2 linked regions of the Struthio camelus genome follow. The protein of the gene in region 2 purifies or fractionates together with the protein of the main gene of each other region. This does not show direct contact. Links are inferred from orthologs where the notes say so. Each region holds a gene or a part of one and is shown on either strand. Other genes may lie near its edges.

The links.
Region 1: the proteins of PSTPIP1 (region 2) and WAS purify together in Homo sapiens (affinity purification with western blotting; 3 studies listed by BioGRID and IntAct, with this or other methods). This does not show direct contact. The link is inferred for Struthio camelus from reciprocal best matches to the Homo sapiens genes PSTPIP1 and WAS.

Annotation. Positions count from the first base shown.
Region 1 is NC_090979.1:338,621-354,687, reverse strand, and holds WAS (actin nucleation-promoting factor WAS), read right to left. Parts: upstream 7,924-16,067; 5' UTR 7,672-7,923; coding exon 7,561-7,671; intron 6,652-7,560; coding exon 6,511-6,651; intron 6,038-6,510; coding exon 5,951-6,037; intron 5,531-5,950; coding exon 5,434-5,530; intron 4,973-5,433; coding exon 4,931-4,972; intron 4,776-4,930; coding exon 4,725-4,775; intron 4,388-4,724; coding exon 4,207-4,387; intron 4,032-4,206; coding exon 3,989-4,031; intron 3,204-3,988; coding exon 3,050-3,203; intron 2,372-3,049; coding exon 2,326-2,371; intron 2,176-2,325; coding exon 2,013-2,175; intron 1,464-2,012; coding exon 1,358-1,463; intron 1,245-1,357; coding exon 1,195-1,244; 3' UTR 1,186-1,194; downstream 1-1,185. Other genes in the region: histone-lysine N-methyltransferase SUV39H1, read right to left, coding at 373-391; TBC1D25 (TBC1 domain family member 25), read right to left, coding at 9,941-11,953, 12,036-12,242, 12,832-12,956, 13,549-13,703, 14,030-14,139, 14,476-14,559; GRIPAP1 (GRIP1-associated protein 1), read right to left, coding at 15,210-15,281, 15,518-15,648, 15,736-15,835. UniProt on the Homo sapiens protein: Effector protein for Rho-type GTPases that regulates actin filament reorganization via its interaction with the Arp2/3 complex. Important for efficient actin polymerization. Possible regulator of lymphocyte and platelet function.
Region 2 is NC_090953.1:22,306,562-22,321,878, reverse strand, and holds the start of PSTPIP1 (proline-serine-threonine phosphatase-interacting protein 1), read right to left. Parts: upstream 6,194-15,317; 5' UTR 5,888-6,193; coding exon 5,855-5,887; intron 1-5,854. UniProt on the Homo sapiens protein: Involved in regulation of the actin cytoskeleton. May regulate WAS actin-bundling activity. Bridges the interaction between ABL1 and PTPN18 leading to ABL1 dephosphorylation.

The sequences.
Region 1 (16,067 bases), on a different chromosome or scaffold from region 2:
GAAGCCCCCCGGTTCCGTGCCAGCCCCACAGGCGTGGGGATAGCCTCCCCACCCCCCCGAAGCACCGGGCGCCCCCGCACCCCCCGCCGGCGGAGGAGCCGCCTCAGCGCGCCCCGCGCCCCCTCACGCACTGCCCCTCCCCCGCCCCCCGCGCCCCCTTTTATACCCGCCGCGCGCGCGCTGCCCCCCTCAGAAAAGGCGGGAAAAGGCGCCTCCCCCCTCACAGCGCGCGGCTGTTCAACGGTCGCGCAGCGCGCCAGGTGTGGGGGGGCGGGGGGGCGTTCGAACGCGGCCCGCGCGCGCGCCCCGCGACCGTTAAACCGCCGCGCGCGGCCGTTAAACGACCGCCGCCCTCCCGCGCCCCGCGCTCACCTTTTAAATTTTCCGCCATCTTTTTTTTTCCTCCCCCCTCCCCCCCCGACAGGCACCGCGCGGCCGCCGCACCGCGCGGCCCCGCCCCCTCCCTCCGATTGGCAGCGCCCGCCCGCCTTATTTGCATATACCCAGCAGCCCCCGCGCTCCTTCCCGGTGTCACCGCCCACGCCAGGGCCGCTTTTTTTTTTTTTTTTAACCAATTTCCGCTTCTTTTCCCCCGCCCTGGGCACACCCAGGGCTCGTGCCCTGCCTCCGCCTTCTCGCCTCGGGGCGGAAAGCGGGATATTCCCCCCCACCCCCGCCCCACAAAGCCTCAGAGTGATGGAACGTAGCAATCACACGTAGCCGTTAATTAATTAATCTCATTCATTAATCTTTGTAACACGTTGTTTGTGAAGCATGGCCGTGCTTGCTGGTGGCTGGGGCCACGTGGTGTGGGGGGGTGCCGCCAAGCGGCCCCGCTCACCTCGAGGCAACGGCTTCGTTCGTTAGCAGCTCGAGCAAACGAGGTGGTGCGGTGCTGGTTTATTCCTTAGCAGCTTGCACAAATGAAGCCCCCCCCCCCAAAAAAAAAAGTGCGGGGGAAGGAGACGTTATCCACAGTCCCCCAGGTCTCGTTCACGCCAACACGGCGCTCGGCCTCCGCCATGGGGTGGCCCGCATAAACCCCATGTGTGGGGCGCTATGGGGCAGGTGGGGGGGGTAAGCGAGGTCGTACCGGACCAGGCCCGCAAAGCAAAGCACTGTGGGAAAGAGGGGGTGCTACAGGGCGGGGGGGACACACAAACACGGGGGCTCCATGGGCCAGCGCCACGGGGCTCAGTCATCCCACTCGTCGTCCTCGTCCTCCTCGGCGTCCTCGGCCTCGTCTGGGGGGGAGGAAGCAGGGGGTGAGCAGGGTTTGGAGGGGGGAACAGCGCAGGGGGTGCCCTTCACATGTGGGGTGGCCCCCTGCGTGTGGGGCGGCAGCCCCCCAGCTCACCGGATGAGTGGATGGCCTTGCTGCGCTTCTGCATGACCTGCATGAGGGCCCCCACCAGCCCCTCGGGAGGCTGCCCCACGGCACCCGCCTCAGGGGCCTCAGGGGTCTGCAGGTAGGGAAAGGGAACAGAGTCAGGGCTACCCCACAGAACGCTGCTCCACACTGTTACCTGTCCCACGCAACCTACCCCACAGTGTCCCCTGCCCAAAACCTCTCCCCCCACCCCACAGTAACCTGCCCCACGCTGTCCTCCACCCCATGGCAACCTGCCCCACAGTAACCTGCCCCACGCTGTCCTCTGCCCCATGGCAACCTGCTCCACACCTCCCCCTGCCCCACGACAACCTGCCCCACACCGTCCCCTGCCCCATGACACCCTACTCCACACCATCCCCTGCCCCATGGCAACCTGCTCCACACCTCCCCCCGCCCCACGGCAACCCACCCCACACCGTCCCCTGCCCCATGACACCCTACTCCACACCATCCCCTGCCCCATGGCAACCTGCTCCACACCTCCCCCCGCCCCACGGCAACCCACCCCACACCGTCCCCTGCCCCACACCGTCCCCTGCCCCATGACACCCTACTCCACACTGTCCCCCGCCCCATGGCGACCTGCTCCACATCGTCCCCCAGCCCCGTGCCCCCCGACCTTGTTGAGCTGCACGCCCTGCCGGATCTGGTCCAGGAGGGCCCCGCGGCCCTGGGGGGGCCCCGCGGCGGGGGCACCGGCGGTGGCGCCAGCAGCCGGCGGCGGCGGCGGCGGCGGCGGCGGGGGGGGTGGGGGGGCTCCGCCGCGCGCCGGGGGGGCGGGGCTCCCGCGCGCAGGGGGCGGGCCGGCGGCAGGGGGCGGGGCAGGGGGCGGGGCCCCGCGCGGCGGCGGCGGGGCCGGCGGCGGCGCCCCGGGCGGCGGCGGCGGCAGCGGCCCCTGGCGGCCGCGGGGGGCGGGGCCGGCCGCGGGGGGCGGTGGCGGCGGCGCGGCGGCGGCGCGGCCCGGGGGGGGCGGCGGCCCTGGGGGAGGGGAGAGAGGCGTCAGCGCCCGGCGGGAGCCCCGCCCCCGGGGCCACGCCCCTAGGGCTGGGGGGGCACGTGGCACCTAGGGGGGTATGGGGCCTATAATGGTGGGGCATGGGGCCTGTAACAGGGCATAGGGAGCCTATAATGGGGGGGGGTGGGGCCTATAACGGGGCATAGGGAGCCTATAACGGAGGAGGTATGGAGCCTATAACGGGGGGGTGGGGCCTATAATGGGGCATAGGGAGCCTATAACGGAGGAGGCATGGAGCCTATAACGGGGGGGTGGGGCCTATAACGGGGCATAGGGAGCCTATAACGGAGGAGGTATGGAGCCTATAATGGAGGGGGTGGGGCCTATAACGGGGCATAGGGAGCCTATAACGGAGGAGGTATGGACCCTATAACGGAGGCCCATGGACCCTATAATGGGGCATAAGGGCCCTATAACAGGAAGGGGTATGGACCCTATAATGGGGAGGGTATGGATGCTTTAACGGGGGGGCATGGGGCCTATCTGGGGGACTACGGACCCTACGGCGAGGGTCGTACGGGTCTTACAGCGGGGCCTGAGGGGCCTACCCCGGAGGAGACAGGTGGCTGCCGTCATCGGGGCGGCGGAGCCCCTCGGGCCCGGGGGCGCAGGGAGCGCTGCGCGGCCGCTGGGGGGCTCACCGTGGCGGCGCATCTCCTCCTTGACGGCCTGCAGGCCGCCCTGGCCCTCGATGAAGTCGTAGATGAGGCGCGAGGTCTCGGCGTCGGCCAGCTGCGCCTCGCTGATGCCGGCCCGGGCGAACAGCGCCCGCAAGTCTGGGTCCAGCTCCTGCACCTGCGGCCCGGCACCTACGGCCTCCGTAGGGCTGCTGGCACCACCCGCCGCCCTCCCCGCGGGTATGGGGCCGTGCTGCCCGCCCCGCCCTGGGGGCGTGGGGTGTATAGCACCCACCCTGGGGGGGTGGGACCCCACAGGACCTCCCCAGGGGGCTATGGGACCTATAGCACCCACCACAGGGGATATGGGACCTATAGCACCTGCCCCAGGGGATAGGACCCCTATAGGACCTCCCCAGAGGGTATGGGACCTATAGCACCCACCCTGGGGGGGGACCCCACAGGATCTTCCCAGGGGATATGGGACCTATAGTGCCTGCCCCAGGGGATAGGACCCCTATAGGACCTCCCCAGGGGATATGGGACCTATAGCACCCACCCCAGGGGATATGGAACCTATAAACCCCACCCCAGGGGGTATGACCTCTATAGAGCCTGGCTCAGGGGGTATGACCTCTATAATGCCAGCCCCGGGGGGGGGGTACGGGCCCTATAGCACTTGCCCTGGGGGGTTATGACCCCTATAGCACCCACCTAAGGGGGTACAGGCCCTATAGCACCCACCCCGGGGCAGTGTGGGGCACATAGCTGCCACCTAGAGGGGTGTGGGGCCTATAGCCTCTGCAGGGGAGCTCTAGTGCCCATGGGAGGGAGGTGTTTCTCCTATACAGCCCAGGGGGTCTCTCCCCTATAGAGCTTGGGGGGGTCCATCCCCCCTATGGGGCCCACAGGGTTCTTCCACCCATAAGGCCTGAGGGTCACAGCCCCTATGGGGTGACGTACGTTGAAGCCGCTGTTGGGGTCCCATCCGATGTGACCCACGTGCCTGGTGGGGGGTGGTGATATGAGGGGTTGCCCCATAGCAGGAGGGCTGGACCCATGGCCGAGCCCTGCCCCATATGTACCCTGCCCCTCACGTCCCCCCCAGCCCCACACGTCCCCCTGCCCCACACATCTCCCCACCCCACACATCCCCCCAGCCCCACACATCCCAGACCTACTTGAAGCCGGAGGGTGCCCCGATGTCAGCCTTGGAGATCTTCTTGCGACCCCGCTTGCGGTCAGTGGCTGTGGGGCCTGCTGTGGGGCCCGCTGTGGGGCCAGCCGTGGGGCTGGGCAGCCCCCGGTAGCGGCTCGCCGTGATGTCGGGGTTGGCAATGGGCACAGCCGGCACTGGGGGGGCTGCGGGGGCATGTGTGTGGGGCGGGGGCCGCTATGGGGCTTGGCGGCCACTATGGGGCAGGGGGACTCCCTTTGGGGCAGTAGAGACTGGCTATGGTGCAGGGGAACCCACTATGGGGCAGAGGGGACCCTGCTAGGGGGCTAGAACACTGCTATGAGGCAGGGACTGTGCTATGGGGCAGGCAAACCCACTATAGGGTAGGAGAGACCCCACTATGGGGCAGGAACCACTTGCTATGGGGCATCAAGGATCCCCTTATAGGGCAGGGACATTCCATTATGGGGCAGGGACCCCGCTGTGGGGCAGCGGAGCCCCTGCTATGGGGCAGTCACTCACCACAGCCATCCCCGGCAGATGCAGGGGGCCGGGGCAGACTCCCGCGGCGCTCTGTGATGGGGGGCAGAGGAGGTCAGCGCCCCACGGCTGCCCCACAACATCCCCCCCATGGCCACCCCACGGCTCCTCCTTCCCCGTGGCTCTTTGCCCCACGGCGCCCCCTCCACAGCCCCGCAAAGCCTCCCGGGATAGGGGGGGGAACTCACCATCAGCCGTGGGGGGTGGTGGGGGTGGGAGCTGTCGCTTCTCTGTGGAGGGAAAGGGGCTAATGTGGGGCTGCCCCATGGCGTGGCGGGCACCAGGGCAGCCCTGGTGCATAGTGGGTCACTGTAGGGCAACCACAGTGTATCGTGGGTGGCTGTGGGGCAGCCCCAGTGCACTGTGGGTTGCCATAGGGCAGCCCTAGTGTGTATTGTGGGCTGTTGGAGGTGGCCATGAGGCAGCCCTGGTGCCTCGTGGACTGCTGTGGGGCAGCCCCGGTGCAGTGTGGGTGGCCCTGGGGCTGCCACGGGGCAGCGTGGGTGGCCATGGGGCAGCCCTGGCACAGGGGGGGTGGCTGTGGGGCAGCCCCAGTGCCTCATAGGCCACTGTGGGGCAGCTCCGGTGCAGTGTGAGTGGCCCTGGGGCTGCCGTGGGGCAGCGTGAGTGGTCATGGGGAAGCTGTGGGGCACCGTGGGTGGCCATGGGGCAGGGCCGTGGGGCAGCTCACCCGCCCGCTGTTGCTGCTTCCAGACCTTCTCCTCCACCAGGGCCTGGAACGCTGCCGCCTCCCCCTCGTGGGCGAAGTTCAGCCCCGCCTGCCAGCCCTGCGCAGCCAATCACCGCCTGGCCCCGCCCCAGCCCCGCCCCAGCCCCAGCCCACCCCAGACCCTCCACCTCACCCACACTCCCTTAGCCCTGCCCCATCCATCAGCCCCATCTCAGGCCCCTTTAGCCCCACCCACTGCCTTCTAAGCCCTGCCCCCAGTCTCTTAACCCCACCCTTGGCCCCACCCACAATGCTGAAGCCCTGCCCCAGCACAGAGTCCCGCCCTCGGCCCCGCCCCCAGAGCCAGAGCCCCGCCCTCAGGCCGGATGCCCCGCCCCAACCCCCACCTCTAGCCCCACCCCAACCCCCACCTGTAGCCACACCCCAGCTTGTAGCCCCGCCCCCATCCAGTTGGCTCCACCCTACCCTGCCCCAAGCAGCCGAAGCCCCGCCCCCGCCCCTGGCCCCGCCTACTCACGTCAGCAGGGAAGGTGTGGAAGAAGGGGGTGGGGGCAGCATAGCCCATGTGGGCCCGGAGCTCCTGCTCCCAGCACAGGCACCCGCCCTGCGCGCCCAGACACCTGGGTCCCTTGGCCACCTCCACCCAGCCCGTGGGGACTCCCGTCCCCCCCCGCCCGGACGCCTGGGTCCTCATGGCTCCCCCGCCCGGACACCTGGGTCCCCATAGCTCCCCCATCTGGACGCCTGGGTCCCCGTGGCTCCTTCACCCCAACGCCTGGGTCCCCGTGGCTCCCCCATCCAGACACCTCGGTCCCCATAGCTCCCCTGCCCGGATGCCTGGGTCCCCTGGCCACCTCCCACCCAGCCCATGGGGTCTCCCGCCACCCCTGCCTGGACACCTGGGTCCCCTTGGCTCCCCCACCCCAACGCCTGGGTCCCTTGGCCATCTCCCACCCAGCCCGTGGTGGTCCATCCCCTGGGCTCCCCCGCCCAGACGCCTGGGTCCCTTGGCCACCTCTTACCCAGCCCGTGGGGGTCTCCCGCCCCCCCACCTGGATGCCAGGGCCCCCAGCTCACCCGCAGGTCGTAGAGGCGGATGAAGTAGGAGCGCCGGGGGCTGTCCTTGACCAGGCAGGCGACGCCGCAGCCCCGCTTGGTCCACGCCGCCCCCCCCGGCCCCCGCGCCTCCAGCAGCTGCACCACCGCCGTCGCCAGCGTCTGCCGCAGCCGCCCCTATAGCGCCTATAGCACCCCTGGGGGGGGGCAGGGCGCTGGGGGGGCCCTGCGGTGCTGGGGGAGGTATGGGGCTGGGGAGTCCCTGTAGGGCTGGGGGCTCATTGGGGTCTGCAGCACCTGGGGGGCCCCTATAGCACCTAGGGATCCCCTATAGCACCCAGGGGGCCCTATAGCAACTTGGGCACCCGAAGGGCTCCTATAGCACCCGGGGGGACCCCATAGCAACTTGGGCATGTATAGCACCAAGGGGCCCCTATGGCCCCTAAAGATACCCTATAGCACCTGAGAGGCTCCTATAGCACCCAGGAGCTGCTCTAAAGCATGTGTGGGGGCCCTATAGCACCTGGGGCCTCTACAGGGACTAGGTGGGTGGCTCTAGTGCCTGGGGGGAGCTCCTATAGCACTCAAGGGGGTTCCTACAGGTTCTTAGGATGTTGCAAACACCCCCTTGACCCCCTTGGGATTCCAAATCCCCCTCAGGACTGCCCAGATCCACCCAAATATCCCCCAGACCCTTTAGAGCCCCCCAGGACCCCCCAAATCCCCCCATCCCCCATATCCCTCCCAAATCCCTCCCAGGACTCCCTATATCCCCTCCAGATCCCCCCCTAGACCCCTTAGGCCCCTCCCAGGACCCCCCCAGCCCAAGGGCCCCCCATATTCCCCCTATACCCTCCCAGAGCCCTTAGGGCCCCCCCAGACCCCCAAATCCCCCCCTAAGACCCTCCAGATCCCCCCAGAACCCTTAGGGCCTTTGCAGGGACCCCCAAATCCCCCCAAGTCCCCCACAGCCCCCCCCAGGACCCCCTAGATCCCCCCCAGAGCCCTTAGGGTTCCTGCAGGGCCCCCCAAATCCCCCCCAGGACCCCCAGATCTGCCCCGGCCCCTCACCACACATTTCCGGCCCAGGAGCTCAAAGAGCCGCAGGTTTTCCTGCTGCTGCAGCAGCTCCGAGGGGACGTTGTCGGGCCCCGGTGGCCCCCCCCGGCCCCCCCGGCTCATCGCCCCAGTCACCTGGGCCCCTTCCCCACTCCCCCGCCGGCTCCGGCCCCGCTTATGGGCCCCGGATGCCTGGGCCCCCTTCCTGGAGGAGGCTGGGGGGGAAACACCTCCCCGAGCCGGATGCCTGTGTCCCCTGCAGAGGTGGGGAGCCCTCGGCCCGGACGCCTGGGTCCCGCGCGGAGGCCTCTTCCGTGTAGCGGGCCCGGAAGCGCGCGTCACCTCCGGACTGGGGGCGACTGGGGTGAACTGGGAGGGCACTGGGGTGAACTGGGAGGGACTGGGAGCAGCCAAAGGCCGCGGCCCCCCCTCCTCCCCCCTGGCTGGGGGCCCAGGCATCCGGGCGCCTTGGCTTCCCCTCCCCCCTCAGGGGAGTCCCAACTCTGTCCTAGACCGTACTGGGACCATCCCAGTCTGTAGTGGAACCCCAGGCCCTTCCCAGTCCATGCCACGACCCACCAGTACATACTGCAGGCCCAGTATAGGCTGGGACCCCCCCCCAATCCCCTTCCCAGTCCATACTGGGAGCTCTCTAGCTCCTTCCCAGTATGGATTGGGACCCCCAGACCCTTCCCAGTATGGATTTGGATCCCTCATTGTCATTCCAGTCCATTCTGGGAGCCTCCCAGCCCCTTCCCCGTCCATACTAGGAGCCCTATCCCCTCCCCAGTCCATACTGGGACTCCCCCAGCCCCTTCCCAGTACGGATTGGGATCCCCAGCTCCTTCCCAATCGATATAAGCACCTGTAATCCCTCCCCAGTATGGAATGGGACCCACCCAGCCCATCCCCAGTCCATACTGGGAGCCTCCAAACGACAAACATGGGCGTCAGGTTTATTTGCGTCTTCTGCACCTCGCAGCACCCCGGACGCCTGGGCCCCTCCCAGTAGGATGGAGGGCGGGGGGGGGGCAATAAATAAAGGGGGGACATAGGAAGGCACCGGGTGGGGAGGGCACTGGGCTGTACTGGTCCATACTGGCAGGACCCAAGGCTGTGTGGGTGAAGAGGTCCCAGTGGGGGTGCCCTACCGGTCCGTACTGGTCCATACTGGGAGACGCAAGGCCACGTGGGTGAGGAGCTCCCAGTTGAGATGCCATACTGGTCCATACTGGTCCGTACTGGGATGGCCCAAGGCCAGGTGGGTGAAGAGATTCCAGCTCTGCCGCTGTACTGGTCTGGACTGGGACGGCGCAAGGCCACGCAGGTGAGGAATCCCGATGAGGATGCTGTACTGGTCCATGCTGGTCCGAACTGGTCCAACCCAAGGCCATGGAGATGCAGGAGCTCCCAGTTGGGCCCCCAGACCTACGCTGGTTCATACTGGTCCACGCCGGGACGCTCCGAGGCGACGTAGAGAAATGGCAGGGGAGGCAGTGGGCTGTACTGGGCCGTACTGGGGCTGCTGCGATGTCCCTGGCTCCCCGTAGCAGGCGTCTACAGGTCCCCAGTAGGTGCCTACAGTCCCCATGGGGGCCTATGGGTCCCCAGGGGGGATCTATGGGTCCCTGAGGGGTGCCTACAGGTCCTTATGGTGGTCTATGGGTCCTCAGGGCATCCCCATGGGTATCTCTGGGTCCCTGAGAAGTGTCAAGGGGATCCCTATGCCAACCTATACATTCCCAGGCGTGTCTATGGGTCCCTGAGGGGTACCTAGGGGATTCCTACATTGGTCCATGGGCCTCCAAGGGGGACCTACAGATCCCCAAAGGAGAGCTATAGGTACCCATGGGTGCCTACAAGGTCCCTATGTTGGTCTACGGCTGCCAAGGGGGATCTATAGGGTCCCCAGGATTTTCTACAGGTCCCTAAGGGAGTCTATGGGTCCCCAAAAGGGATCTATGGGTCCCCATGCATGCCTTCAGAATAGCTATGTTGATCTAGGGGTCCCCAAGGAAGATCTATAGGTCCCCCCAGGCATCTATGGGGTCCATATGCTGGTCTATGGGTCTCCTCGGGGGCTCTATAGGGTCCATGGGACATCGATAGCCCCCCATGGGCGTCTCCAGGTCTCTCAGCCGGTCTCAGGGCCCACTTGGGGGCTCCATAGGGTCCCCAGGGATCTCTACACCGCTCCATAGGCATCTCTGGGGTCCCTAAGCTGCTCTGTGGGCCACCTCAGGGGCTTTATAGGGTCCCCAGAGGCATCTATACACCCCCACGGACATCTCTGCGTCCCTCAGCTGGTCTCGGGGCCCCCTTGGGGGCTCCATAGGTGCCCCCAGCTCCCCCCACACCCCTCTCGGCCAGGCGCGGCAGCAGGGGGCAGGCGTCAGGGCTCAGCAGGGTCGCTGTCACCCGCGCCGGGGCCGCCACGCCCCCCCCAGCCCTCGAGGTAGCGGGCGAAGAGGGCCTTGGCGCGGTGCAGCACCCGGGGCAGGTCGTGGCGGCGCACCAGGCGGTCAAAGTGCATGGCCACCTCATTGTAGTCGCTGGCCCGTGCCATGACGGCCTCACGCTGCTCCAGCAGCATGGCCAGGCACACAAAGAGCAGGAAGGGGTTGCCCTGGCCCAGCTCCTCCGGCGGTGGCAGCGGCGCCCCGTCGTCCTCCACACCCACCTCGTCCTCCGACGAGGAGGAGGAGGAGCAGGAGGAGGAGGAGGAAGAGGAGGAGGAGGAATCTTCCCAAGCCCACGGGCCGGCCCAGGGGTCATCATCAGCTTCACCAACCTCGGGGAGGGTGGCAGCGTCTGCTTCAGCGTCTTCGGGGACGTCAGGGTCTTGGCCAACCTTCTGGGGGCTGCGGAGCTCTTGGCCAATCTCCTTGAAGGCACCTGGGTCTTGGCCAACTTTCTTGAAGACGCTGGGTTCTTGACCAACCTCCTTGAGGATGCTGAGATCTTGGCCAACCTCCTGCGGCACGTTGAGATCTTGGCGAACTTCCTCGAACGCGTTGAGGTTTTGCCCAATCTCTTTGGTGACACCAAAGTCTTGACCAACCTCCTTATAGATGTCGGGTTCTGGGCCAACCTTGGGAACGTTGAGACCTTGGCTGAGCTTCTGGGGGACATCGCAGTCTTGTTCAGCCTCCTTGAAGATGCTGAGATCTTGGTCAACCTCCTTGGGGGTGTTGGGGTCTTGGCCAACCTCCTTGGGGATGTCAGGGTCTTCATCAGCCTTTTTGGGGACACCGGGTCCCCCTCTGGCCTCCCTGGAGGCCTTGGGATCCTCTGGGATGTCCCGGGAGACATGGAGATCCTCTGTGACACCTCGGTTGGTCTCGGGATTATCTGGGACCTCCGACTTCGCTCCACCATCCTGGGAGATCTCAGGACTACCTGGCGCACCTTGGGAAACCTTCAGATCCTCCTGGATGTTTGTGGAAACCTTAGCAGCATCTTGGACGTCACTGATCTTGGGATCTTCTTGGGCGTTTGTGGGGATATTTGGATCCTCCTGGACATCTCTGGAGACCTTTGGATCCTCTTGGAGGTTTCCGCAGCTTTTTGGAGCCTCTAGGACATCCCCGAGGCCACTCAGCCCCTCAGCGTCGTCTCCAGGCTCCTTCTCAGCTCCTCTTGCGCCCAGCGTAGCCGCCTCCTGGGCCCTGCACTGGCGCCGGTGCCGTCGGGGGGGCCGGGGCCGGAGCCCGCGGCGCTCGCGGAGCCCACAGCGAGCCCGCCGGGGGCCCAGGGGGGCACCAAGGAGCGGCACACCGTCGGCAGGGGGCGGCGGGGCAGGTGGGAGCGAGCTCCAGGTGATCTCCAGCACCCGCAGAGCGTCCTCGAAGGCGAACTCCCGCTTGAGCTCCAGTAGCAGCCAGCGGTAGCAGAAGAGGAGGTCGTGGGCGCCGCGGGCGGCCAGGAAGGCCCAGAACGGCGGGTCGGCGCGCCGCAGCAGCCGCCGCAGGTGCCCAAAAGCCCGGGCCAGGCCCCGGCCGCCAGGGCGGAAGCGGGGAGCCAGGCGGCGCATGAGGGCGCAGAAGCAGATGAAGGCCTGGGCCTCGTCATCAAGAACGGCTAACAGTGGGGCAGCCACATCTGACATACCCTGGCAGTAGGACAAGCGCGGGTGGCCCAGGGCGAAGGTGGTGAGCAAGGCCTGGAGGGCGGCCAGGTGCGGGTGCCCCTCTTCAGGCCCCCCGAAGTAGGGGTGGCCGCGGTCAGTGCGCACCACGTCCTTGCGCACAGCAGCCCCCACCAGCGCCAGCTCGCCAGGGGCCGCCTGGGCCGCCAGGCGGGCCTTGAGCGCCCCATACTCGGCTGCCTTGCGCCGCAGGTGGGCCAGGCGTTCCTGGCCCGAGAGCCCCGCCGGGAAGACATTGAGCAAGTAGCGCCACACCACCTGTGCGGGGATGAGGCCACGCCATTAGGGACCCTGGCATCCGGGCAGGAGGGGTGGGGGACGGTGGCGGGGCAAGACATACCTTGCGCAGGCCGGGCTCGACTCCCCCGTGGTAGACGTGCAGGCGGAGGTCGCGGGGCCGGGCCAGGCGCCCACCGGGGCCCAGGTAGCTGCGCAGGTCAGCATCACTCAGCGGGGCCCGCGGCGGTGGCGGAGGCGACGCCGGTGGCGGTGGGGAGCCCTCAGGCCAGGCCAGTGCCGCCTGCGCCCGCGCCAGTGTCCGGCCCACCTGTGTGGGGGGCGGCAGGTGAGCCAGGAGCACGGGGAGGCGTTGGGGGGGGACTAGGAGCACTGGGAGGTGTTGAGGGGGAACTAGGAGGAGTCTAGGAAGCATTGGAAGGTGTTGGGCAGGGAGTGGGAGCGCTGGAAAGTGTCAAGGGGCACTGGGAAGTGTCTGGGAAGGGACTGGGGGCACTGGAAGGTGTCAAAGGAGCACTGGGAGGTGTTGGAGCAGAACTGGGAACACTTGGAAACACCTGGGAGGGGACTGGGGACACTGGGAAGCATCTGGGAAGGGACTGGGGACTCTGGGAAGTGTCGAGGGGCACTAGGAGCACTAGAAGGAGGAGAGAGGGGGAGATCTGGGAGGTGTCTGGGAAGGGACTGGAGGCACTGGAGGCCATGGGGGGTGTTGGAGCAGAATTAGGAACACTGGGAGGTGTCTGGGAGAGAACTGGAGGCATTGAGAAGCGTCGGAGGGGCACTGGGAGGTGTTGGGGGGGAGCCCAGGAGCGCTGGGAGACCCTGGGGAGGGGAACTGGGAGCTCTGGGAGGGCCTGGGGAGGGGAACTGGGAGCCCTGGGAGGCCCTGCACCCACCTGTGCCAGCAGGGCCTGGGTGAAGGGCAGGGCAGCGGCCAGCAGCGAGCGGCGCTCGGGCCCGGGGGGCTCGGCCCCCGCCGCCTCCCGCGGGCTGATGATGTCCCAGTCCTCCAGCAGCGGGCCTGCGGGCCCGGACGCCTGGGTCCCTCCTGCTCCGCCACTCCTGCAACCCTGCCCCCCACGGGTCCCTGGACGCCTGGGTCCCCACCATGCCACTCGAGAGCCCCCATGACAACCCCCAGGCCGCTCGGACACCTGGGTCTCCTCTACGCTGCTCGAGAGCCCACCCTGGGCACCCAGACACCCGGGCCCCTGATGTGCCACCCCCAGGACACCTGGGTCCCCCCACCCTCTCCAAGACGCCTGGGTCCCCTTCTGGTCCTGGGATCAGGGGCTCTCCCCAGACACCTGGGTCCCCCCAGCCAGTACCCAAGGAGAAAATGCAGCTCCTCCCGGACTCTGGGGCCCCCTGACAGATGGGGCTGGGGCTCTCCCAGACACCTGGGTCCCTGGGTGATGAGGGTGGGGGCTCTCCCAGACCCCTGGGTCCCCCCACCCACTCCCTAAGGGGAAGATGTGGCTCTTCCCAGATGGCTGGGTCCCCCCACCCAGCCCTCAAAGGGGTCGCGTGGGTCCTCCCAGACACCAGGACCCTCTGGCCAGCAGGGCGGGGCTCTGCCAAATGCTGGGGCCTGCCGGCCAGGCGGCACTCACTGTCGTCGGGTGGGCGCACGTCAAGGCGCAGGCGCAGGGCAGGCTTGGCGGCTGAGGCGAAGGCAGCCGCCAGGTCGCTGTCACTGGCCAGCGGCGTGAAGCTCTCGTGGCCCCGGCGGTCGCGGGCCGCGAAGCTCACGGCGAAGCTCTTCTTCCTGTGTGCCATGAGAGGCCCAGGAGTCTGGGGGTGTGCCCTTCCCCCACCACTTACAACCCCCCTCCCTCGTGGGGCTTCCCCTCCATGCACCCCAGTGGACCCAGACATCCGGGCCAAGCACCTCCCTCCCACCCCCCTCATGGAGACCCATCCCCGACTGTGCCCAGCGGATCCAGGTGTCCAGGCCAACACCCCTCCCCCCCACGGGGACTTCCTCTGTGTACCTAGTGGACTTAAGCATCCAGGGAATCGACCCCCTCCCCCACACAAGGAAGGTGGGGGGACGGAGATGCCTGGGGGGAGGGGAGGGGCCCCGGTGCTCACCCCTGCAGGTCGAAGGCACGCGCCAGAATGTGCTGCAGCACGTCCAGCGACGTGATCTGCGGGTCCACGGCGAAGGAGCGGAACTCGGGCGGCAGCAGCCCCTCGCTCTTCTGGTGGCAGCGTCAGGGACCCAGGCGTCCGGGGCCGGGCGGGGGGGTCTCCCCCCCCCCCAGCAGACCCAGGCGTCCAGCCCTCACGCTCATCCCCCGGCGCAACGACATGGCGCCCCACCTCAGCGCGTCGCTACGGCAACAGCCTAACGGCACCCTGCCGTTTCCCACCCTCGCGCCTCATTGGGCACCGCCGCCCACGTGGCCTCCTCTCACCTCCGCACCCCCCCCCGCTTTAGCGCGAAGCCCTCGGCCCCGCCCCAGAGACCGCTGGCCCCGCCCCCAGCGGCACCCCCTCCCGGCGGCCGCTAGCTCCGCCCCCGGCCCCCCGCTCACCTTGACGCGCACGCGCACCACCTCGCACTCCTCCTCCAGCGCGGCCCCGCCCCCCGTCCAGGCCCCGCCCCCCGCGGCCGCCATGGCGGCGGCGGCTCAGCGCAGGCGCGGACCGCTGTCTTCTGGTGGGGGGGGGCGGTTGGAGCCGCCGCCGCCCAACCGGCAGAAGCGGGTGGGGGAGCTTACGTCACCGCCGTGCTGACGTCACGCCGCGCCCCGCTTCAAGCGAAGCGGGGCTGGGGAAGCGGGAGCGGCGCCGCGGTCACCCCCGTCCTGCGGCCGAGCCGGGCAGCGGCGGCAACAACATCCGGTGGGCGGGGCCGCCGGCAACAACATCCGGGTCCGCGCCCGGAAGTGACGACAGAGAAGGGCGGGCGGGCGTCCCGGCCGCCATGGCGACGCCGGGGGGAAGCGCGTCATGAGGGAGATGCGAACCAGCTTGGAGTGTAATGACGTAATCCCCGCCTCTTCCCTAAGCGCCCCGGCGTCCGAGCGCCCCTCCCCCACCAAGAGACGGAGGCGGCTGCGGTTCAAATCGCGTTTATTGAAAGGGTGGCGGGAGCGGGAGGGGTGCAAGTGCGAGATCCCACCCCCCCTTAAAGTGGCAACGCCTCCTTAAAGGGGGAACCCCCCCGCGGGGGGCCACAGGGGGATATGTACAGCCAGGATGGCAGAGCAGGTGGGGAGGCCCTGCCCCCCGGGGCGGCCCCACCCCCTTAACGGGGCCACGCCCCTCAAGGGGGGCCGGGGGGGGCAGCCCGCTCCTTGCTGAGCCGCACCAGCTCCTGTGAAAGCGCCTCCAGGTCCTGCGGAGGGAGGGGAGGGTGTGCTCAGGGACCCAGGCATCCGGGCCCCACGGCCAAGCCCCCCGGAAGCCCCGCCCACCCGCAGACAGCCCCCTCCGTGGCCCCACCCCCGTGCCAGCCACCCCTGCCCCGAGCCATGCCATGAGGCCCCGCCCCCTGCTTGGCTCCACCCATGAGCCCAGCCTGCCCTAAGGGGGGGGTACCCCATAGGCCCCGCCCCAGGAGGCCCCGCCCACCTGGCCCAGGTGCAGGTTCTTGGTGAGCTGCTCCTCCAACATGTTCTGCAGCTTCTTGTTCATCTCGCGCAGGTCCTCGTCGCCGGGGCCCCTGCCCCGCCGGGGGGCGCCGGGGGGAGCCGCCGCCGCGTCTGGGGGGGGGGACACGTGGGGTCAGCGGGGGGCGTGGGGAAGCCCCCGGCAGGGCCCAGGCGTCCGGGCACGCTCCCTGCTCCCACCCGCACCGAGGCGGCTCTCACGGACGAAGCTCTCGATGATGGCGCTCTTGCGGCACAGGTCCTCCGCCATCGAGGCGCTGCTCACCTCCAGGTGACGCACCTGCAGGGGGGACGCGGGGTGACACTGGGGATACCCTCTCCCCCAACTTGCCTGGGACACCGGTGCCACCGCTGAGCCACCCCCAGGGACACCAGCGACCCCCCCACTGCCTCCCAGTGGCCCCTGCTCCCTCTCAGCGCCCCCAAGGGCCTCCCACTGCCCCCTAGTCCCTCCCAGAATCTCCCCAGTCCCTCCCAGTGCCCCCCGTCCCTCCCAGGCACCCCCCAAAGCC
Region 2 (15,317 bases):
AGAGCCGGGATTGTTTAGCCTCAAGAAGGAAAAGCTCAAGGGGATTTTATTAACGTGTATAAATATCTGCTGGGAGAGAGTAAAGGAGATGGAGTCGAACTCTTCTCAGTGGTATCCAGTGGCAGGACAAGAGGTGATGGGCACAGATTGAAATCCAAGAAGTTCCATTTAGACATAAGAAAAAAACTTCTTTACTGAAAGGATGGTCAAACATTGAAGCAGGTTTCTCAGAGAGGAGGTGGAGTCTCCATCCTTGGAGATATTCAAAACTCAACTGAACGTGGTCCTGGGCAACCTGCTTTAGCTGACCCAGCTTGAGTAGAGGGGTTGGACTAGACGATCTCCCAAGGTGCCTTCCAGCCTCAGGTATGCTGTGATTCTGTGACAGGGGAATACATCTTAACATGCTACTTTAGCAAGCTGTAGGACACTCACTCCGATCTTTGCATGAAGTGCTGCTACAGATCCGCAGGATCTGTTTCAAGCCATGTGCAGCAAATACTCCTTTAACTGTAGGTGGTGTTCAGTACAGGTGTCTGTGTATGTGCAGGTGAAGAGAGCAGTTTATGACTCACCTATTCTATGTTTAAAATACATATCAATGGCACAATTAAAGTTGGCATGAATAAGACTCCTCCATTTCTCTGGGCCCGAGCAAAATCAAACAACTTTTGTAGAGCAGGAAGGATCAAAACAAACCAGACAGAATTATGTAAAAATACGAACAAAGTTGTCACTTTGACTTTATCCATGAACAATTATAAGCACTCAAATCCCCTTGGTAAGGCATTCAGTTGCATCATGGTCATCAGAAAATGTTAATAAAATGTAATGACTTAATGGTTTAATTGACCTGAAATGAGCTTTCTCTAAACCCATTAATCTACCTGGTCTGTGAAGTCTTCCAGGCCTTGGGAGCGGGTCACTGTGTTTAAACCTCCTCTCAGAAACTCTTTCCCTGTGTAGGAAAGATGTACCACACGCCTGGTGTACCACATGCAAGTTGTAACTGACTGAGGATATAAGCAAAAGTGCAAACAGAAAAACTCTAGTCTTTCCATTTCAGCTCATCACCAAGGAAATGATCCTGGGCCACCTGCTCTAGCTGACCCTGCTTGAACAGGGTTGGGCCAGGCAATCCCAGAGGTGCCTTCCAACCTTGGCTGCTCTGTGATTCTGCGAACTGCCCCAAATGTGCTGCACTTCAGTCCCTTACACACCCTCCTAGGTGGTGTTTTAGGAATATGGAAGGTTGATATAGCCGTTGATGTGTTTGTCTCACTATTAATATCTCTTCTGGGAGTGCTAGTTCACTTGAGTTTCATTTTAACTGCTCTGTTGTGTTCTGCTCAGAAGTGATTTCTGAAAACATCAGTATTTCCATAGCCACAACAACTAATCAAGTTTCCTTCTTGTGATTTCTCATGGTTTCAGTGACTGTTCTGAAATTTGAAACCCCTTTACAGGGTGCTTCTCACTGTCCCAGGGAGCAAAGCTTCCGTCCTAGATCAGATATTTCCTATTACAGGGGAACGTAGCAAGAAATTCCATGTAAAAGATGAACAGAGTAGTATATTCCATGGGGATGAAGTTGACCTCACAACAAACAGGCTTCAGCTGGACAGTCAGCTCTGCTTCTCAGAGTCAGGTCCTGCTTTCTTCTCCGTTTCCATGCACATCTACCAGTAATGGCATCCTCTGGATGTCAGCAGGGCTGTTGTCTACGCAGCCATAGATTGGCCCCTAGTTGCACTTTCTCCAGTCCAGAGACTGGACTACATATTGAGTATGGAGTACATGTACGCAGTACATATTGACCACAGCGTCTGGCCTGCCTGTACGCCAGTGTGCATTAAGATTATTTATTTTAATTTGCCACACCTCAGTAAATACGGTTACGACTGGTAGAATCCAATACAAACATAAGTTAATGGCAATCCTCTTGCAAAGCTTAAATGCCAGCACAAAAATGTTCAGGAACTATGTCCTTCCCTCACAGAGCTCAGCCCTACCTCCGAAACGGAGGCTGGGAAGGAGCCCTAACCGAGCACCTGGTCCCTCCCTGCCGACAGACCTGCCAGGCCCACTTCCTCCTGACAGACCTGGTTCAAAACAACAGCCCGTGCAAAACTGCATACACGGTTCTTAACTTAGCACAGCCTCTACGTGAAAGCAGGGTGGCTCCCAGTACAAAGATAAAAGGAAGTATCCTTTTTTAAGTAAAACATTCGTATTATTGTATTTCTTTGGTATATTGCATAGTAAGTCATAAGAATAGTTTTACTGTAACCTATAATTGATCTTTTATGATCATTTCTGTGCTTTTGTATCACAGGTTACCGTCTTACTAGAAGTGAAATTTTCATGACACTAATTACATCTTTTGGGCCATGTATAACATACCATTGAGTTGAAAGATTTACCTGTGAAATAGGTTTTGTGTTGAACCTGTCATAGAATATATTCTAAAGTCAAAATAAGAGAGATTAAGAAAACATCTTTGTTTATAACAGGCTGTTTATCTTTGGAGCTTATGCAGCTCCCACTACTGTAGTATCTGCTGATAATCTTCGGTATAGTTTTTCTTAGAGTGCTCGAGGAGATAAGATCCTGCTGTTTTAGAGGTAAGGAATGCAGCTTGACCAAAGTCAGAAGAAAAGTCCACAGTAGGACAAGGACCTAAATCTTTCTATCTCAGGTTCAAGGCCTGTGTCCTATTTGCTGGCCAATATCTCCAGCTCACTAGTGCTTTTAAATCTGCGCTCTCAAAATCCACAAGTCCTGTGCTCATTCCACAGCTGAGGAAGAAAAAGCACTTCACACTGTGCAGCTTTTTTTTTTTTAATCATAAGCGCATTAGGAGCCCATAACACGGTTTCAGAATTGACTTGGCCACTCAAGTTTCATTGAAAGCTGCCAAAGGGAACAGATTTGCTCCCACTGAACTCAGAGCACTTTGGATCCTGCCCAAAAACCAAATGCCTCCTCTGAAAGCCTTCCTCATTCCTTCTTCCCCGGTGGCTAAGACAAAGCACTGAAGGATGCCAGTAAAGGCCCCATCTAACCCTTGGCCAGAGAGAGTTATGTGTGTCTGGTACCAGAGTGTGGAACGAGGGCAGGAAGGACATCCTCAGTATTTATGGCAGAAGGGGAAAAAATATCTTGGTTACTGTTTTTTGTAACAGTAAATTGAACGTTACTCAGATCTCTGTCTAGTAACATAACTCTGTTAACGTGAAACTCAGCTGGTATCGCAGACGTGCTCCTCATTAATACGGAAATTTACCTAGCTGTCTAATACGATGTTAGAGAAGACAGGTAACATCTGTTACATTTTTACAGCAGCACAGCAGAATATTAATCCATTAGTAATTGCTCTGCACTGGCTATCAAAACTGATTCCTATTTTAATCTCCCTAAAATTTTCAAAAGAAATATTGTCAGAGGACAGGAAACTTCTGCTGAAGAAACACATTTTACTGGAGGCTTTGAGCAACCTTCCCTTAAACCATTACTTGAGTGTGTGGAGGATGTAAAAGCTAAGAAAACGGCATTAAAAAATATAGTAGTTTTAGCCCAGGACTTGATAAAGTAAAACAAAAAATAGCACAAGCGTGACACCACTAGCACAATCCTATCATTGCTACATTTAGTAGGGGGGAAGAGAAATTAAAAATTATACCAGTTACAAGCAACGGCTTACATTCTCCTGAGAGATAGCCCACCCTATCCTCAAAAAAGTTTGAGAGACTTTGGGGAAGAATTAATGATGCAATTTCTCTGCTAGCCAGGGAAGATCTGCTGCTTTTAGTGTTTGTGTTCACCGCAAAAACGTACATATCTTACATTGTGTCGGGTACCCGAGCTACTTCTGCCTATCCAAAAGCCTACTGAAATAAAAGCAGGGGGTTGTTGCCTAGGAATACCTAGTCAGGGTGAGTCCCCGGCAGGGGTGCAGCGTTGTCCTCAGGCAGGTCTCGGAGCTCAGGCATCTGTTTTGAGTGATCTACTATGATGCAAATGTACTTTTTGTTTTTTAATCATGAAGACGGTCTCCATTCATGATACAAATTGAATAAAGGAAACAATTGCCCACCAAAGCAAACTGAGCAAATATGTTTCCGTCTTGCTAATGGGTACAACAGAATCTTGTGAATGCAAAAATAATTGCTGAGCTTGCGATTTGGGGGGGAAAGCTGTACTCTTTTGCTTCATTGTGCAATATCCTGCAAGTTTTCATTTTAAAATGCTTTTTATTGCATAGCTAAGACTATCATAGCACACAGGATACATCATGCCCTCTTAATCAAGCCTGGCAATAGAATGTTTTCAGCCAAACAATATTAGAAAAAAAGATCCTTTCCTTTAAAGAAAATATGCACTTCAAAGCCAAGAAGGGATTATACTCTTGCTAACATGACTAAACACAGTAAATATACAAAATGTATCAGTTCTAAAGTAAGATTGCACAATTCGGAAGGAAGTTCAGAAATGCAAAAGCTGAAGTTTCTGTAGTAGAACGGGGTTATGTTTTATGCCCTGCGCTGTGCTTTTCACTATGTGGTTGGTAACCTTGCAGAAGAACAGGTGGGGAGAATCTCCCGTAGGTGTGGTGAAAATGAAAATCAATGAACCCATTAATTTTTTTTTTTTAAATGAAAACTAATTTTGGTATTTCCTCATTACATTACTTTTAGCTGTTCAAACCTAGTACTATAGTGGGGGCAGGGAGGATTCCTGGAAGCGTCTGAGGGAAGGTGGTTTACCAAAATGTGTTCTTGGGTCTGCCCATCTGTTTTACTAAGAGAGAGTTTATCCTGGAGGGAGGGTGGGCTGAAAGAACAGCACAAAAAGCACAGGCACCGTGGAGGGTCCATTTGACCTAGCTTGATGGGCAAATGGCAGGAAGAATTCACCTGCCTTTGTCTCTTTATATATATGCCAATCCCTGATGTTGGAAAAGTGATTGTTGAGACAGGAGGCAACCAAGGGACATCCTGTATTTCCAAACTTGCTACATGTGGGGGGTTTGTTTGTTTGTTTTTTGTTTTGTTTTTTCCCTTGAAACCTCAGCCCCAGAAGCAACTACAAGAGAATCTCAGATTATACTTGCCAGATAAATGACTAGAGCTTTTCCCCCCTTGTAACCGCAGAGAAAGAGCACGAAAACAGGACACCCAGAGATGCTTCGACTGAAAGTCAAATAAGAACCGAGCATATCTGCATGCTTTAGTGTCCACCGTTTTTAAGCCAGTTCTGAGAGTTCTGGCTTCATTCTCAACCTCACGGCTAGTTTTTTCCACCTATGGTGCCCTAGGACTCCTGCACACCCTAAATGCCTCATGCACACGCTTTTGCATGTAAGAGCAGGCACGGGTGAGCAGTAACGTTTTGCATATCGCTGGTTGCCTTTGCAGGTGCTGCTCAACTCTACATGCAAACGCTAGAGAATTTATATAGTAACGGGTAGCAGTTCACCTGCTCGGAGGAGCCGCTCCTAAAAACTGAGGGTACTCGCTGCAAGCAAGCGCTCTTAGGACAATGAGACAGACAAATCCATGTCCTTTCCAAAAACAATGTTTGGACATAGCTTAGAAATTAGGAATGTCAGTTGTTCGTGTGAATTAGACATAATCCTTTACAAAGCTTCCTTCTGTTTAAGACCGAATGCTTAAACTACCCAGACAGTATGTTTTTGCATGGAGGCAAATTTGTTTTTTTTACTCAACTAAATTTAAAATATAGAAAAGTATTAAATTAGATTTAAACTCTATTTAAAAGTAAGCTGTGTTTTAAATTATTTTTAAGTATAGATACATTTAACACAGGAAATACTGAGGAGATGCTCACTTACCCAAAACGCATCTTTAAACTGCAGCTGTGTCATTATTATCGATTTGCAGAGCGGAAGGAATCTGTCAGCAAGAAGTTTGTTCTCAGAAGAGAGCAGCAGCAGCGGCGGCACTCAGCTTCAGAGCTGTCGCTGTAGCCCGGCCCAAGCAGAAAGTGAAACACATCCACGCTCCTGGCTCTCTACAGTCAAACTGGTGAAAACCAGCATTGGGCAATTTCAGGCAGCTCAGTATAATGACCTGGAGAGGGGAAGGGGCAGAGGGGAAGAAAGGCTCTTGCTCACACAGGGAGACGTGCACACGCTCAGCCCCTAGCCTCAGACCCGTTTCTCTTCTGGTGAGCAGTTAATATTGAAATGAGGAAGCAAGGAGATGTCAAGTGATGTCAGTTTGTTCCTTGCCATGTGTGTGCATGCGAGCTGCTTGCAGGAAAAAAAAAAAAAAAGAAAAAAAAGAAAAGAAAAGAAGAAAATTCAGTGATATGACTTGAGCAGCTACTGCAGAAGGGGGAGCAATTAAAACACAAATGAAACCAGCACAATACAAACAGATAAACGGGGGAGGAAATTAAACTGCGATATAACTCTGCGGTGTTACAAAGATTAAAAAGAAAAGGATGTGCCACATTTCTCCAGTACCTTCTGAGGTTGGTAGAGGCACATGTATATGTGTATATATATACGTATATATGTATACACACACACTCACAGGAGTGTGTGTGTACACTCACAGAGCTGCAAAGCTGCATTTTGCAACTGAAAATGCTTTTCAAGACTCCAGCTAAGCTACGGCCATTGCAAAGTGTACAGGTGTGTGCACGTGTGCGTAGAGATCCTCTAGGTGTATCTGGAAATGCTCTGATTTGCATCTCCTCATGTAAATAACTGTATGAATAAAGAGGGTATGTGAAACTGAAAAGTAAAACCCAAACTCGGGAAGGACATTGGGATAAGAGTTAGCGCGAGGCCCCGGGTGAAGGGCTCTCTGGCCTGGCCGTGCCCCATCAGCACACCCACTGCAGCGCCACAATGAAGTATTTCAAACAGCTAGCTAAATAGGCTAACAGATTCATTACAGTATGTCCACAAATAATTGATAATAGTGTAATACGTCTAACGCATCCATAAAACCCTCCTCCGAACGCCTGCTCTACAGGAGAAGTTGTCTGCTCACCCCCTCAGAAGTTTTTAAGGAATCTGTATTTTAACATGAATTTTGATAGGGCAGGAAAACTGAAAGGGAAAAAAAGGAAGGAAAAACCTCCCCCCTTAGCTGACTATGAAGAAGTGCATCTTCATAGTATTTTATTCACTTCCACGCCAACAACACATCGGGATGCCCGTGTCTCGCTTCCTTCTTACTGCAGCGCCGGGCGCGTGGGCGGGCGTCTTTAGGGCGAGGATGTCTCTTACCTTCGCTGAGCTCCAGCTGGGCACAAAGATCTGTTCAGAGAGGTCTCTCAGCAGTCGGCGGCTGGAGTTACGCGTAGTCACTTAACTAGCAATTTACTGGAACCGATCTCCTAGGAAGCGGAGAATACGGCCGTGTTCCCTTCCTGGCGGTCTGGAGAGGAGCAGCGGCGCAGGGCGCAGGGGACGGGCAGCGGTTCTGCGGGGGGAAAGCAAGCGAAAACAGAGGAGGGCAAAAGAAAGCAAGCGTTTGCTGGGCCAGAGGTGTGAAACTGCTTTGATTGCCGTGAGAGGCAAGAGAAAAGCACCATCACGTGAGGGAGGGAGAAGGAGAAAAGTGAGGATTCACTTGCAAAGGGTGTTGAGGAGAAGGAAGTGAAGCTGTCTTCCAAGGGTAAAAATTCCCTGCGAAAATGCATTTTGAGGTCAGGTCGTAATAGTTGATCTGTTTTAAAAAAAGAAGTCTTTTTAAGAATGTTTTATCTATGTCTTTCTAAACCTAAGCATTTCATCATTTTATTTGCAACTTACAGCTTTGTTTTGAAACTGATAGTTTTGCTGCTGCTGGAGTTTATAAAAAAAATGCATATAGTGAATGCAAAAATGTGTTTAGATCAATGCAAAATGATTTGTTATTTTTGCATTATTTTCAGTTTGAGCCCAAACCAAAGAGCCAGTTGTTGGATTCAGGCTAGTGCTGAGCTCCGTGCTGGGTCTGTCCCACCCAGCGAAGCCTGCGTAACCCCGTAACCTCCGCTAGGAGCGTGGCAGGCAGAGTTTCCTTTCTAGTCAGAGCAGAAAAACAGGCAGGTAGGTTTGCTCTGTGAGTGCGTGTGTGTCTCTTTCCGTTGGCTGCAGAAGAGTCGAGAGCGTCTGCGTTCCTAGCTCAAGTATTTCGGTGGCTTGGCTGCAGTTAGGTGGCGGGAGGCCCGGCCTCTAGCTCCGATGAAGCAGAGCTCTTGGGCGCTTGCTTCATCTGACGCTGTCCCTGGGGGCAGCTCACATGTTACCGTGTGCCTGGCTTATGGTCAAAGGCTCCTGCCGCTCGCACGGGTTGCCAAGCTTTGCAGTGCTCTTAAAGGAGGGGGAGAATTATGTTAATTTTACAGCTGAAGAAAGTGAAACCTACAGTGACCAAATGGTCACGGCCTTAGACGTCAGTGCTAGAGCTGCAGGCCTGGGGCAGGGTTGCTGAGAACCTTCTCCCGGTTGTTCTGCTTCGCAGCTGCCACGGTATGAGTAATAATAACACGTGGTCAACCAGCCAGAGAGGCACAAGCCCAACGCAGCTCTCCTCCTCTGTGCTCAGCATCACCATCTCGGCTTGGCCAGCGTGTAAAAACCTTTCACTGCAGCTGGCGACGGATGGCACTGGTACGCAGAGGAGGCTGCGTAGTCCTGGGGGTATCCCCTCCCTGCGTTAGCAATGCCTGGGCTCAGGAAAGCTGGAATAGAAAAATTTTCCTTTTCTTCCTTAAGCCAAAGCACCAAAGACTATCAAAAAGTCTTACAGTGGATAGCTAATAAACTTAAATCTGAACTGGACTGCTGTAAATACAGGTTTGTAGGAGCAGGTTTCTAGTTGCAGAAGTAAAAATGTCATCAGTCAGGTCAAGAGCGATGCTAGCGAGTGGCTGGGTAGCAAGCTTTTCAGGTGCTTTGAGCACACTATCCTATGGGTCTGGCCCTCCAGAAGTCTCGGTTTAATGTTCTGGAAGTGGCCAAAGGGACAGCAGGGCCTGCATTCACGGGGGTGTTTGGGAACCCAAGTCCTTCTTGAGCCTTTCTGTGCCATTGTGAATCGAGGTCTCACTCTTTCTTATTCAGCTTTTTCTCTAAAGAGGGATGGGAAGTCATAATGGAGAAACAAAAAGCTTCAGAGAACAAAAATTCTCTTAAAAAAAGAAAATGAAAGAGAAAGAATAAGGCCATTAGAATGGATGCTTCACTAGAACAATTATACATCCGCAGTAAGACAAATAATACCCTGTCTTGCTGAAAACCCTTTTATCACACACAATCTAATCACAGCATACATTTTAGTACAATGTGGGTATACGTGCCTTGCTGGCCGGGATTTACAGTAAATCTGTTTCTGAAAAGCACTTTAATTCCCTGTGCTTTGTTTCGTTTCATCAGCACCGTTCTGCTTTACTGCTCCTACTCTTGTTTTTACGATAAAGGTGTGCAGAGGAGAGAAAAGGAGACCTGTCATGTCTATTTGACACACCCTTTAACTGGCAACACAGAGCTGGGCTGAGCGGTGGGTTTTCATGGGGGGCTTCCTAACATAGCAGAGCGGAGTGATTTGAGTAGTTTCTTTAGGGACAAGTTGTTTAAAGGGGCATCACGCACTGGCAGAAGACAGACACCGATACACTCACAGTTTGAAATTTCACTAATGATGGTTACACTGAGCGCGTAATTTTGCATGGAGTTGAATGTCTTTTTGAGTAGCACATAGCAAGTATAGCAAGCCTCACTCGTTAGGCGTCACAGCCAGGCTGTTTGGGGCCACAGATACACGGCAACCAGGATGAAAGTAAAAAAGCAGTACTTGCAGCCTTCTGTACCCCCGGCATCTGCTGAAGATGCTTGAGGGTTAAGTGCTCTGCTTTGATACTCTTGAGCGTGGAAATTATCTGTATCAAATGAAGGTTAATGGTCAGATAAATTGTTCAGAGTGCATGGCCTGGCTGGAAGATGGGGGACTTCTGGCTGGGGCTTTCCAGGTCAAAAAATAACGAGATATGTGAGACCTGAGAAGAAAGCCAGCTGCCTCTGGGCACAGAGCTGTTGTGTCTTGCCCCGTTCTCCTGCCACAAGCCAGGATGATGCTGAGTTGCAGGCAGGTGGGTTCCCCGGCCGGGTCCCCTCCTGCGGGAGCATGGTGCTGCTCTGTCCTTTGCCCCCATTTGGTCTCCTTCCGCAGAAAGCACAGGATGCCACTCCTCAGGCTGACTGACGAGGAGCTGGGCCGTGGCCCCAGCGTGCCCCAGCCCTGGCGCCCGAAGGCGCCCTGGCCCTGCAGTGCAGCAAAGCCCGGGAGAGCACCCAAAGTGCGATGACATGCTCCGCTTTCTCCACTGGGTTATTTGCCCGCATCCACCTTTTTCTGAGGACAAATGGATCTTGCAGGGCTTTTGGCTTGATGCATCCTCAAGCATCCCTCATTTTCATCCTATAACTTCGTTTCTACAGGGTTTTGATTTTTGGTTGTTTTTTTTTTTCCTATTTTGGTGTGTATTTTAACCAGTGAGGACTTTGACTTCTCCCCAGCTGTGACTTTCCTTGACCTGGATCCCCCCAGGTTCTCCCAAAATATCTGCAGAGTTTCTGGAGGAGAATATTGTCTTTGAGCTGTTTCTTACTATCTCTCAAGGAAATAGGACTTCCGTCTGTTTCATGAATAAAAAAAAAACTATACCAAGAAAATTCTGGTTTTGTCTCAGCAATTCTTGCTCAGTTTCTGTAAGACTAATCGTTCAGTGGTACGTTTCTAATGGAAACGTGTTAACCTGAGGACGGTCAAATCCAGAAGTCCTTCAAATGAATTGCCAATTAGAAGGAATTTATGTATTGTATTCTTTGGATTTATTCATCCGGTTTTTCTCTTCTTTCACCTTTTTCTGTCTTCATTCACCTTGTCTGATAAATTTTCTTTAAGTTCACATTACGTTATGATAAGAAAGTGAGCAGAAAAAACTCCAAGGGTGAAAAGTTGTTTTATGTTTTTTAAGATTACACTTAAAGCTCAGCAAAAATATGCTCCACATAATCTAGTGAATCCCTAATACAAGATGGAAGTCTCAAACTGTTCGTGTGTGTGCAGTGTGAAAGTAGCAGTTTTAAATAGATGAGATTGTTTGAGGGTTTAAACTTCATCTTAAAAGTCGACTGTTTAATAGGTGAACCTGCTTTAAGCTAAACTCAGTGAGTGAGAAAAGATGATAAAGTTCCTGAAGACTGCTTTTAATTGCATAACCATTCCTTGGTTATTCATGCATTTTATTTCATGCAGACTTTCCTGTTCTTTTTTATTAGTCTTTTTAAAAAATTTTATGTCTGTGCTTCAGTTTAAAATACGTGGAAATGGCTATTCTCTAGCTCTGCTGCGTAGCCTTCCTGCTCTCTCTGGAAGTATGACCGGGGAGTACTGTTTTTGCCCTGCTGCCACCACTTTTCCATTATTTTCTCTGTGCTTTGCATTTCTCTGTTTGTCTCCCATGACATGGCAAGAATTTAGGTCTTTGACACTCTTCCAAAGTATCATTTTAAAAGACTAGAATTAAATTTATGGTGAGATGTTAAGTGGTTAATCACTTGTTGTGGGAGCTTGCATCATTTAGCAGAGCTTGAAAGAGCATTCAGAAGTAGCAGTCCCCAATAAGCTGTGGTACCTCTAAGACACACCAGCCTCCTAACAGCTCTGAAAGCTCGTTTGTGTCTCCTTCGCAGGCAAACGTGTGGGAATAGTTTTGCGGTTCTTTTGTACAACTCTCATGATGAACGCTGCCCTTGGAGAAAAGCTCTTCCTAAAAATATCCTCTAGATTAAATAGGAACGCGACAGCGCAGGGTCCAGTTCTTAACAGATACTGAAGCTCACCACTGCGTTAATAGTTTGAAGTGACTGGCCTGAATTGTAAGAGGACTGGAAAGGCTGAGCTCAGAGGTGGAGCTCTGCGGGGCTGAAGGGTGGGGAGTGAAGTCCCTGAGCCTTTCTAAGCCACCAACTACTATAAAGCCATCTACTGAAATCACCTGGAACTCAGTGCAATTGTCCCCTGAGGAACAGTCATATAGACACGCTTGTGCCAAACGGAAGCACTGTTAGTGGACAGGAGCTTTAGACTTTTGCCATGGTATTAGGACTAGGACAGGGAACGACAAGTGATCAGACAGCAGGTCATTTATTCGCTTATTGGTAAGCTGGAGCCTTTAGAAACCGACAGGGCCTTTTGCCTCCCTTTCCTCACCACTTTCACACGGCCTTTAACGTACCCTTTGCGTGCAGGTCTTCCAGGAACCCAGAAGTGCCAGGGCCGTGCACTGAGCAGGACGCTCGGTAAATCACTACTGCCACCTCCGTTCCCAGCACGGTTAGGAAAAGCTAAAAATCAGGTCTTTTGGAAATAAGTATAACCTGTTTGTGGAGGAGAAAATGAAAAGATTTCGGTTTCTATCCCCCCTTTTTTGTCAAAACTTCAGGTACCTGCAGCAAGATAGTTTTTATCTCCATGGTGTATTTTGGATATTTTACCAACAGTCTTTCAAGGTAACTGTTGGTTTGCTAGCCAAGGAGGCCGGCTGACGTTTCTCAGAAAGGACGCCCTGAACGCTGCCGTTCTGCAGAGAAAGCAAGGTATGTGTTTTACACGCTCAGGCTTACACACATACTCTTCCTTTCTTCTCCCCCGAGGAGATGCAATTTCTTAAAGCAAATTCTGGCCATGGCTCAAGTTCACAGAAACATTAGACAGAGGTTTAGGATAGTGAAAAATCCTACCTGACTGAGACTGCAGGAGGAACGCAGGTAGGCAACAACCATTCAGCCTGGCATTTAATAGATGCGTCTATGTTCTCTGAAAAATCATGGTCTTCTCAGTCAACCTCAAATCATCAGGGTTTTTGCCAAAAATATACCATCTCTAGCAGCTTAATCTCTGCACAGAATATCTCTTCTTTCATAATATATTAAATGGTTTAGCATCATGGGAGGCAACAGTCTAGATTTCTCTGGCATGTTTTAGCAAATGTTCTGGCCTATCTACTCATTTAGAAACAATCACTACTTTTTTTAAGATAAAATTTTTTTGCTGAGTAGAAATGCAAAACTGAAGCAAGTTAGCCATGAACATCTGAAATAACATTTCAATTGAAAAACTCAAAAAGCAAAACCTTTCTAGATAAATTATTTGCATGTTTATTACCGGTAAACTTTCTGTCTGAAAGATTAAAGTGCAGGTCTTTTAATTTCCAAAGAAAACATAATGTAAATGCAGAACACTGCAGACAAAGTAGTTTGTTTAGTCTCAGGTAGGACTGTAATTTTCCACCTGTGTGAGAACACACACACGCAGATATTTTGTCGCATACTCCTACCTTCATAAACACGTAGAGCCACACAGAAAGAGGACGAGGGGGCTGCTAAAAGCCTTCGTAACGCTTGAGCACGAGCTCTTGTCCTTTTTGCAAACCAGAAATGCCAGAAATGTCGATCAGCTGAACCACATTTCAGCTGTCTAAGTGTTTATATCTGGCATTTACATTAATATTGCTCATTTTTGTTTTTCCGCTCGTGTTACTATTGAAAGGATTATTACTGGCTTTCTCAAAACAAAACAATTATACTTTTTCATTATTTTTAGTGATTCTCCTGTGCGTTTTTTTTTTTTTTTCCAGCATCTTCATTTTTCCTTTGCTAGATCATTGGGGATGGTAAAATAACATCTTTCATGAACAAATATTTCCTCAGCCCCCACATTAGGGGCATTCGGAGACACTGCAGTGCACATCTACGCAAGCAGCATTTATGAGCAGTAAAGGATTCTCCATTAAGGACTGAATCCTCGCGGGGTTTGTGTTGGGGTTACCACTTAGGCTGACTTTTATTCTTGAGAGGATACAGAGCACTTTATATGGGGCACTATCGTCTGTAGAGAGAAGTAATATTTACTTGTTAGAACAAAAATAACTTCTAACTTAATACCAACACGGACGAATACCAGTTTGTCAGTGTTCGATCACTGAGAGAGTTTTCTTGTTACTTCTGGCAGCTCTGGTTTATGCAGGCAGAGAAGGAAAGGATCGCTTGAAGTTGGAAATGCTACATATACAAAATAAAATATATATTAAAATATATAGGAAAAATAAAGACAGCCTGCCTAAGGGTTTAGACGGGGTCACTTTCTACCGGGTTATTTGTGCCTCCTATGTTATTCAATACAAGTAGCATGAGCTGTATGCTGGGATGGCCCTTAGACCATCTAAATCTGTTTAGTACATGAACACTCCCAGAAGGCAGCTAGAAACATAGACTGTCGGAGGTTGGACAGGCCCTCTGGAGGTCTCCAGCTCACCCCCTGCTCAAAGCACGGCTAACGTCAGGGCTAAAGCACGTGGCCCAGGGCCGCCTTGCGTTCTGAGCGTCTCCAGGGTGGAAATACCTCCCCAGCCTCTCTGGGCCCTCGTTCACTGCTTAACCACCGTTATTCTGATTTTTTTTTTTTTCTCTTTATCTAGTCAGATTTTCCCTTGCTGGAACTTGTAACTGTTGCCTTTTGTCATTTCACTGTGCACCTCCAAGGGGTCTGGCTTATTTACACTAGCAATGTAATTGCTTGTTCTGTCACCCATCCCTTTCCCTGGTAATGAATTGTATGTTTGGCAGGATGTCTTTTTCTAGATTTAAAAGGTACAAGCTGCTTTATGCGCTGGAAAATTTTCAAGTCTAAGCTCTGTATAATTGATACTTCATCTACTTGCTGTCGTATTAATCTCCCTTTGCGCTGTTCACCTGATGTTTTACATGCGTTGTTTGTTTAGAAATCCAATTTTGCTGGATCCTTGATTTTATGAATGGTAAGATTTTGGAACAAGCAGAGTTTTCTTCTCTTCATTGAGTTTAGCTGGTATTTTGTTCCTCTGAAGGTGTCTCTCTTACTTAGATACTGTTCACCAGAAACTGTCCTAATGCGTATTCCCACAAAGCTGGAGTCTGCCTCTGAATCAGGGTTAACTGATTTTGAGGATGTCAGTGATCTGTCTCTGGAGAATAAGGTTATCTTGCCAGCAAGAATGGTCAGCCTGTATCCAAGAAATCTGAGTGGTTATTACATGGAGACCAAGTGCCTTTTTCTGCTTTAATATTTGAACTGAGGATATTCTGCATGTGCTGCTTACAGAGTGAGATGAGGTGTAGCAGGCCAGAGACCTTCAGGCCAACTTGTTTTAGTAGGATGCCAGTTTACCTCAAACTGCAATGCTTTGACAAAGGAAAAGTGACATTTAACGTTCACTGCCTGTTCTTGGGTTCTTTCTGCAAGTCAAAGCTA